2 linked regions of the Caenorhabditis elegans genome follow. The protein of the gene in region 2 interacts with the protein of the main gene of each other region in a pairwise test. Each region holds a gene or a part of one and is shown on either strand. Other genes may lie near its edges.

What was found. The genes of interacting proteins can lie anywhere in the genome.
Region 1: the proteins of abi-1 (region 2) and phm-2 interact in a two-hybrid assay, tested with the Caenorhabditis elegans proteins (2 studies listed by BioGRID).

The regions. Positions count from the first base shown.
Region 1 is NC_003279.8:11,515,982-11,520,562, reverse strand, and holds the start of phm-2 (Pharyngeal muscle protein 2), read right to left. Parts: upstream 3,006-4,581; 5' UTR 2,998-3,005; coding exon 2,944-2,997; intron 2,890-2,943; coding exon 2,821-2,889; intron 2,816-2,820; exon of another isoform or gene 2,717-2,815; coding exon of another isoform or gene 2,684-2,716; intron 2,017-2,683; coding exon of another isoform or gene 1,845-2,016; intron 1,491-1,844; coding exon of another isoform or gene 1,372-1,490; intron 1,097-1,371; coding exon of another isoform or gene 980-1,096; intron 590-979; exon of another isoform or gene 461-589; intron 296-460; coding exon of another isoform or gene 77-295; exon of another isoform or gene 1-76. Other genes in the region: F32B4.5 (KCTD8/12/16 H1 domain-containing protein), read left to right, coding at 77-295, 980-1,096, 1,372-1,490, 1,845-2,016, 2,684-2,716; abhd-11.1 (AB hydrolase-1 domain-containing protein), read right to left, coding at 3,455-3,580, 3,716-4,029.
Region 2 is NC_003281.10:5,689,550-5,694,379, forward strand, and holds abi-1 (SH3 domain-containing protein), read right to left. Parts: upstream 3,182-4,830; 5' UTR 3,158-3,181; coding exon 3,029-3,157; intron 2,982-3,028; coding exon 2,896-2,981; intron 2,850-2,895; coding exon 2,408-2,849; intron 1,917-2,407; coding exon 1,325-1,916; intron 841-1,324; coding exon 680-840; 3' UTR 558-679; downstream 1-557. Other genes in the region: arle-14 (ARF7 effector protein C-terminal domain-containing protein), read left to right, coding at 3,465-3,521, 3,570-3,665, 3,706-4,030, 4,105-4,241; B0336.13 (Transcription initiation factor IIA small chain homolog), read left to right, coding at 4,499-4,785.

The sequences.
Region 1 (4,581 bases), on a different chromosome or scaffold from region 2:
TGCCTCCTATTCTTCTTCTTTCTTTCTGCTAACAAACACTAGAGATAAACGAAGAAGTGAACGCACACACACATACATGCAAGTTGCACAAATTATTTGTGCTCACGGAGCAACAATTTCAACGACTCGTGCCACACTTCAACGTGCTCCACAATCGTTGCTCGCCACTTCGCCCGACGCAACGTCTGATTCAGATGACAAGATTGTGCGGATCCTCGTCGAGGCGCTTCGTCGCAGTGACATGAGCATTATCGTCTCCGAATCTTTCGATCAGTGGGCCCGATTGGCCGTTGAGGTGAGTCTATGGGCTCCGCGAGCAGTTAATGGAAGCTTTTTGTAAGAGCTCGGCTGCTTTGGATTTATGGATTCCGAAATGAGAAAGAGCTATACGAGATTTAAAAAAATCCCATAATTCTGTCATTTCTAGATGGAGCTCAATTAGGATAATGAGCATTTCACCGTGGAAATGCATAATTTAGCTTTTCGTTCCCCAGCATAAAAATTCCCCCTAAGCTCAATTACCAGATTGATTGGCGAAAATGGGAGCTAGAATGCTCAAAAATGCTCAAAATTGTCTCAAAACTCCTATTTTGGATATTTTAGGACAAAATTTCAAAAAAAAATTATCGTTTACTTGGGGAACACACTATTAAGCTTTCTGGTAGTGAATTCGATCATCCTTGAACGCAGAATAAGATCTTGGCATAATCTTGCCGTGGGAAAATTGAACGTTCACGCGTGGTGTCAGAGTGTCTCATATGGGATTGATCTACATAGATCTACAAAAAATGCGGGAGAAGAGACACAGAATTCTCAACTGATTTCGTATGGTTAAGAACGTGCTGATGCCACATATTTTTGGACAACAAATTCCCGCATTTTTTGTAGATCAAACCGTGATGGGACAGCCTGGCATCACGTGTGTTCACGATAAAGCAGGAAATGCACCGAAACCAAGAATCGCTGCTCTTTATTCCAGGCCAAACGTCTTGGGCTCATTTCATTTGTGGAGGCCGCCTGCCCGTCAACCATTAGCATCTCTTGTCATGCGGCTCTCTCAACCGGACGTATCAATCCAGAAGTCACGTTTCGAAAGGTACACAATATCCATTTTATGGCTCAAAAAACAACAGGAAAAGCTTTCGCGTCATCAAATCCCGAACCAGTAAAGGGAACAACAACAAGCCCATTTTTCCTGCTCTCGTTTTTTTTTCCTTTTTTCTGTTCATTTCTCTTGCGGTTTTCTCCCATCAATTTTCCCCTATTATTGCTTATGAATACAGCAATAGGGGAATATGTATGTTAAGAGAAGAGAGACACACACAGACAAATGCTCATCATTTTTGACGTCGAGAAAAAGGATATTTTCAGGTTCTACGAATCGTCGTATCCGGAAAAGTAATCATGTGCCGAGCAGTGTTCGGCGATTCGTTGAACGAGTGTAGAGACGGAGGAGGCACGGATTTCGAGATGGATCGCTACACTTCTAGGTAGAGACAGGCTTTTTCGCGGCCAGAAATACTGAAAACCCGTCATGTAGATTTACGCGAAATTTACAGTTTCTAGCTATAATAGCTGATTTCTGAACCATTAAAAAATGTTCCGTCTCCGTTTGATCTACAAAAAATGCGTGCTGACGTGAAATTTTTTTGGGGAAAAATATCCGCATTTTTTGTAGATCACACCACACGGGGGAGTACACTAGCGGAAATCGACAGTTTCACAAGAAGAGCTCATAAGCTCTTTTTGAAACATAATATTTGAGCAGAACGATTGGTATTTCAGCACTACCAAATGACAAGTTAACCAGATTTCAAAGCTTCAACCCAATCCTCTCTTTCCAGATTCTTCCTAAAACACAGCAACTTAGAGAAAGCGTTCGACCAACTCGCGTCTTCCGGCTACCGACTTATTCATTCCAACACATTTGCGCCGTCCGAGATGCCAAAACATGCGGCGAAAGATGACTCGCAATTTATTCATCATTCTCAATTTGTTTTCCATCGACAGCCAAAGGTAGGAAATTGACGATGAAAAAAGTTAGAGCTGAGAATATCGAATTTTGAATTGAAATTGGTCTAATTTGATGTTAGGAAATCATTTTTTTTGTGAAAAAAAAAACACTAAACGTCGGAAAATTTCCCTGCTAACATCAAATTAGTTGATTTTTCCTTCAAAATTCGTCATTTTCATTGCATTAGCTTGTAGAAACCCCCACAATTCGTCCAGTAACGCCACTTTTCCCGGAAGTTGGTGAGGTGAACAAAAGGGAACTTTGTCTCTATCCGCTTAAAAGCTTTTTCCTTCTTCTTCTTCTTCCAATTTTCCCTTCAAATCAAATCACGGGCGGCTTCATCTTCTTTTCCCCCCGCTTTTACGTGCTCTTCCACCGGAACGTGTGTGCTCACAAGGGGAGCTCGAAAATGTCTGAGCCGTTGGAAATGGATTTTCGCCGGAAAAAAAGCAGCCAATTCTTCTTCAAGTTCCGTTCATCTCATTAGCCAGCGCCCTTTTTCTATGCATTTTGAGACGCTAATTTGATCACACAAGTGGTGAATAGAATGCACAATTTATGGGGGGAGGGGAGCCCTTTTTCTTTTTTCCGGGAAAGTTGGGCCGGAAATTCGAGAAGTATCGCTTTCAATTGGTGGGAAACCGAATTTATATATCGATTTTTTTGCAGCTTTGCCCTCCATCGGACACTGGTAGCAACTAGCAACGTGGACTTTTATTGCATTTTTCAAATAAATTGTTTTTTTTTGTAATTTTTCAATTTTGACAGGAGATTCGACGATAAATAAATACATCACACATTTTTACCTTATTCAAACGAACAGTGAGCACAACCTTGACTCCTTGAGTACTCAAACCACGCTTCTCGAGCTCTGTCTGCAAAAAGTGCATTTTATAGGGAATTTCCAGTGGAAAAAATGATTCACTTACCTTCAATTCACTAACACGCAAGTCATTGATCAATTTTCCGCTTTCCAACGGCATATTTTGCTCTGAAAATCGAAAATTTTCGGTGGAAAAAAATCGATAAAACACCAACTCGGCGACAACATGATTTTCGACGAAAATAACGGGCTTTTTTTTAGGCGGTTCAAACGATTGCCACGTAAGCAAATTCTTAATTTGGCGTGAAAAATTTAAAAAAAAAGAGAAAAATTGGATAATTTTACGCAGAAAAGATGAGAAATGAGAAAAAAAGAAATGCGCAGCGTTCGCGCAAGCTCACGAGAAACGCGCCAGCAACCACTGGTTGGCGCGTTTCGTGAAAAGCGAGGGAGATTCAAATTAGAATATTTTTGCAGGCCAAAAACGCAATTTTTCAAACGAATAATAAGAGAAAACCCATTTATTATAAACGAATTATGTAAAATTCAAGAAATTTATCGAATAAATTGAGGAAAAACTGCTAAAACTGCTGGAATTCCATGTCAAATTTCATAATTTAAATGTAAGCTCTCATTCCAAGCTGATCAGGTTCCTCCAGGAACTCGCAAATCGAGTCGACAAAGAATTTCGGGTCATCAGCATGAATCCAGTGGTTCGACCAGGCAGTTTCGGCGAATTGCACCTGTGAATTTGAATTTTTGAGCTTATTTTTCAAAATTTATCGATTTTTAGCCTATTGCTTGTCTTCACACCCTTCTAGATTATTTTCCCGCCATTTTTAAAGATCAAACTAGTCGAAAACCTTATATTTCCTTACCATTGGGAACATTTTCTCTACTCGATTCTTATGAGCCGCCGGAAGGAATCCCGAGCCAGGAGCCCGCTGGAACAGAGTCGGACCATCGAAAACTCCGAACCGAATGTCGTGGCTGAGCAGATAAATGTATGTCTCATCGATAACATTCAGATTGCATATCCAATGAGCTTTTCCGTTCACATCTTCACCCAAATTTCCGCGCACAAATTGGTAGAGCAGCACCTTTGACACTTTTTCGCCGAGCTCCGCCATCACTTCGCTTCGCGATTTGTTCATATCAGTGGCGATCATTTGTTTGATACATTCGAGGTATTCTGGAATAATTGGGGAGTTGTATTTCGAATTGATTTCCGGCAAATCGGCAAACTGCCGGAGTGGAAATTTCCGGCAAATCGGCAAATTGCCGGATTTGAAAATGCTCGGCCTATCGGTAAATCGGCGAATTGCCTGATTTCAAAATTTCCGGCAAATCGACAATTGCCAAAATTGAATCTTTTTGGCAAATCGGCAAACTGCGTGAATTGAAAATTGCCGGAATTGAAAATTTCCGGCAAGTTGCCTGATTTCAAAATTTCCGGCAATTCGACAATTGCCAAAATTGAAACTTTTTGGCAAATCGGCAAACTGCCGAAATTGAAATTTCCGGAAAATCGGCAAATTGCCGGATTGGACAATTTCCGGCAAATGGACAAATCGGCAATTGCCAAAATTGAAACTTATCGGAAAATTGGAGAATTGCCGAAAATAGAATTTCCGACAAATCGGCAAACTGCCGGAGTTGAAATTTCCGGCAAATCGGCAAATTGCCGGATTTGAAAATGCTCGGCCTATCGGTAAATCGGCAAATTGCCTGATTTCAAAATTTC
Region 2 (4,830 bases):
TAAAAAATTGTCGTGTCGAGACCGAGTACCGTATTTTGGCGCAAAAATGACAAAATTTTGCGTCTGTGCAATAGTTAAGGTCCCACCGCGATCCAAGTCATCTTATTGGAAATCGCGCGGGAATTTCAACTGTTCAAGAATTCTGCTTGTATTTTTGACCTTTGTTCCTCCTCTAAGAAAATCTGTGTCCACCGCCCACCAAAAAAGATACAATTCCCACGCCTTGCAAACTCTTTGGCGTCACTATTCGTCGTGCCGAACATGAATTATTTAAAATTCTAAAATAGAAGAAAAAATAAACTAGAGAGGAGAGGAAAAGAAATAAGAAGGCACAAAAATATAAGAAAATGAATGAATGTGTGTGCATGAAGAGAAAATGAGCAATCTCATTAAATAGGCGAGCCCCTAGGAAAACCAAAAGAGAGTAGTACGGGGGCAGTGAGAGAACGAGCACATGCGTTCAGGAAATGCGTCGAGACTCGAAAATAGCAGTCGTATTGGCTATTTTTAGGCTTCTCACTGCTGCAAACGAGGGGACCACTGCTTCCTTCATGATTACATATCCATCGTTTATTTTTGGCTTTTCACATACAAGTACTCGAGGCAAAAGGCAATATATGAATATGAATAAAAGTGAGATTAAAAGCAATTGATTTAGCAGGGTTAGCATTTCTTGTTATCATACTGGAACTACGTAGTTTCCAGGGAAAAGCCCAGTGACTCCATCCAAGACACCTTCATACCAGTCGTCATCGTTCTTTTTCAGTACGTAGACAATTGCGTTCTCGCGAAGTGTCAACTCGTCTTCTTTTGCAGCATCATAGTCGTACAGGACCCGTACTGAAAAAAAAGATTGGTTTTTTTCGAAAATGTTTAAATTGACAAATATAATTGCTTTGTAACATTAAAAATTCTGCAAAAAATCGCATTTTACAACTTAAGATTTCGATTCTTTTTGGATTTTTTTGATACTCCGATGTTTTTAAAGGAAATTTATTTTTCGTTTTTTTCGAAAATAAAAGCTAAAAAGATAACTTTTTAAAAAATCAAAGCTTATAATTTTCAAAATTTGAAAATTCTCAAAAAAAAAAAATTTGGAGATATTTGAATTTTTCAAAATCACTTTCCAATATCACAAAATTTTTTGTTTTTTTCTCTTTTTTAAATTTTTATTAAATTTAATTTTTTTAAACTTTTTTCGGTTTTTATAATAAATTTTTCACTAACAATTTTAGCCAATTTTCTAAATCGTAAAATAATACAGAAAAGCTTAGAGAATTTTTTTCCGACAATTTTTCAATCAAATTAAAATCTCCAAAAATACCTTTTTCCAAATACTCGTTGGGCATCCATCCAGCACTCGTATCAAAGAGACTTGGTGGCTGACTCGAACTGTACGATTCTGTTCTACCAGCAAACACTCCATACGCTGATGACCCACCAACTGATTCTGGTGGAGGTGGTAGATCATCCATATCATCTTGTGTTGGCATTCGACTTGACATTCCAGTGAGCAAAGAATTTGGTGGAGGTGGAAGATCATGTCGGTTCACCGTTGATTTTCGAATAGTTCCATAATTTTGTTGTTGCATTTGTTGTTGTTGTTGTTGTTGTACCACACTTCCCGGTGCAACATATCCAGTATAATTCATAGCTGGTGGTGGAAGTGGGAATGTTGGTGATTCTGGACCTCCAGCACTACTTTGTGCAGATGATAGTCTGGGAATAGAAAAGCTACCATCCACTGTAGTCCGACCACCAGCTCGAATAGTTCCGTAACGATCAGGTTGATAAATGGAATTATAGTCTGATGATCCGTGTTGACTTCCGCTTCCACCACCACCGCTCATATGATCTCCGAACTCTGATCCGTGGCTCATTTGACGGCCGATTCGTGATTCTGATTGTGGTGTGACCTGTAAAAAGTAATCGGATTATGTTAGAAAAAACTTGATTAATTTTTTGAAAAGGAAATGAGCTGATTTTTTAAAAATTAGTTGTTTAGTCTGAAGTCGACAAAAACTAGCCTGAAACATTGAATTTCATAAAAAGACTTCTAAAAAATTTCAAAATTAATTATGTGATTATTCAATAAATACTGTATCTAACTGCTGTAACAAGGATTTCAGATTCTTATTCAGGCTCGCTCTAAATTTTTTTTCGATATTTTCAGAAGTCTCATTATGAAATGCGGTCGTTTTGGGTCAAAAAAACCGTTTTTTGAATAAATTTATCAATGGTTCACTTTTTTTTCAATATTGAGTGTATTTTTCAGAAAAAAAAGTTTAAAATTTAAAATGTATAAGTTATGTCAGAATTTTTCGCTCCCTTTTTTTTTTGAAAACGTTTTGTCAAAAACACGAAAAGCAAATTATTTTCAGCCTCTATGAATATTTCAAATGTTCACCTGTGGCAACCGATAATCCGATGGAGCAATTGATGGAGCATACGGTCTCATTGTTCTTCCTAACGTAGCCGTTCGTTCACCAGCATAAACTCCATACGCTGGAGATTCATTGTGAAATTGTGATGGAGAACTGCCAGAAATTGATGAAGTTGCTCTTGAGATTGGTGCTGCTCTCGGTGGATCCGATGTTCTGACACCATGCCCTATTCCGTCAAGAACAGAAAAATCGATGGGCGTTCGTTGATATCTCTGCTTTTCATCTGGGATTGCTGGTGCAATGATTTTGGGTTGCTTGAATAATGTTTTATTGGTTGTGAGAGAACCAATTTCTCGTCTTGCAAGCTTCTCTTTATGTACATCAACTACTTGGCTAACATATTGAACTTGATTTGTTAAAGAGTTCACTTTATCGGTTTGTAGAGCAAGCATATCGTGTAAATCTCTGAAAAAAAGATTCATAATTAAAACAAATTAATTGAAATACTTACGTAACCATCTTGTTAATCTGGTAGGCTACGCTGGCGAGTGCCTGGATCGCGAATTTCTTGGATTCCTCTAGCGCAGCAGATTTATTCTGAAAACGTTTAATTCATAAACTTAAAAGAAAAAATTAAACCACACGTTTGATTGTATATAATTATCCTCACAATACGCGGCAACTTGTTGAAGATTCGCATGACTCGTTTCCAGTTGAGCTCGATTATCGGGTATCCGTCGCTCGATGAGCTCTTGAAGATCATTAACACTCATTCCGCCTTCCCCATTATGTAGCATCTGTAACAAACTAAAAGTTAACTAACGTTTAGAAAAATATTTTAAAAATAATAAATTGACAGCAGAAATTTCATGAAAAACACTCAAAGGAACTGAATGAATAAGAAATTAATGAGGGCGTGGTCACAGAATGCAACGCGCGGCGCGCTTTTTCGCAAGTGGTACGCACATGTTATTTCCCGCGAGGAGAGCATATCGAATAATAGAATTTCCTCGGATATATTCAAATTAAATCGATATAAATCATATTTCCTACTAAATTTCTGAACCAATAATTCTAAAAATGAGCTCCAATGACGTTCTCGCACAAATTGCCGGTCTGGCGAAAGCTGCAGCAGAGGTTTGAAATTTGAAATTTTAATGTATTTAATTTTTGTATTTTTTTCAGCTTGAAAATGATTTCTCGACGGATAGTGAAATGCAACAAGATTCCGAGATTTGCGATGAAGTCGATGCGGAGCTTTTTGACGATTTCGAAACAAAGGTACGCTTTTGAATAAAGAAAATTTTAACAAAGTTCCCAGAAGTTGCAGCCATCATCTCGAAAGGAAAGTTCAGGAACGAGCCGTCGAACGAGAATGGCACACCGAGAGCTTCAAGGCCTCCAGTTCGCGAATCCAGGAGATGAAATGTCTCGATTTTTGCCCGACTCTGTGGATATTATTAGCACCAACCGCTCGAAACGTGTAGCCGCGGAGAAGCAGGCGGATCTGAGAGACGAACCTTTGCATCATGACAAAACAGGAAAACTTTCGGTTACCGCAAAAGGACAGACTTTGTTTTTCGATCTTTGTGATTGTCTCGTGGTGGAGTGTGATGGGTGCCATTGGCCATGTAAGCAGTGCAAATGTAAGAGATGATATTCATTAACTAAAAATATTTGTTCTAAAAATTCTTTAAACAAAGAAAAATGCATTTTTCAGCTCGCAAATGTCTCATCGGATGTCGTCAAAATCGAAAAGAAATGGTGATACGCGTCGAGGAGATGTACACAGTGACGGAAGCCCCGGGCCCTGTTGTCAATATTAATCCTTATTTTCCGGGCCAAATCAAGGATTAAATGCCTTATCGTTTTATCAATTTTAACCTCTTATGTATGTTCCCCTTTTTCTTGTACTGGTATTATCTATTTTGAACTGTTTTATACATGTCTTTGTGAAAAATTCAATCTCGATGTTCATTAAAAACTAAAGATATTGTTTGTTTTTGTTCTTTTTTGTCATACTAATCCATAGTTTCTCGGTTGATAATCTGAAAATATATCTGGCATCTTCTCGAGAAAAATTTAATCCAACGATATTTCAGAATCTTCCAGAAATGTCGTCATACGCTCTTTACCGAGGGACCACACTGGGTCAGGCACTCGATAAAACTCTTGAGGACATGGAATCCGAAGGACTTCTCACGAAATCTCTTGCTTCGAAAGTTCTGCAACAATTTGATAAAAGCATGAACAAGCAAATCTCGCGGCTTCCAAAAGAGAAAATGAATTTTTGTGCGACACAACTGCTCACTTATCGATATTGTGATAACGTTTGGACGTTTATTCTCAATAATGTCACGTTGAAAGATCCCCAGCGATCGTTTGATGAGCCTATTGATAAGTGAGTGTTTCTTTTATTTGTATTAAAAATAAAAAATCTAGAAAA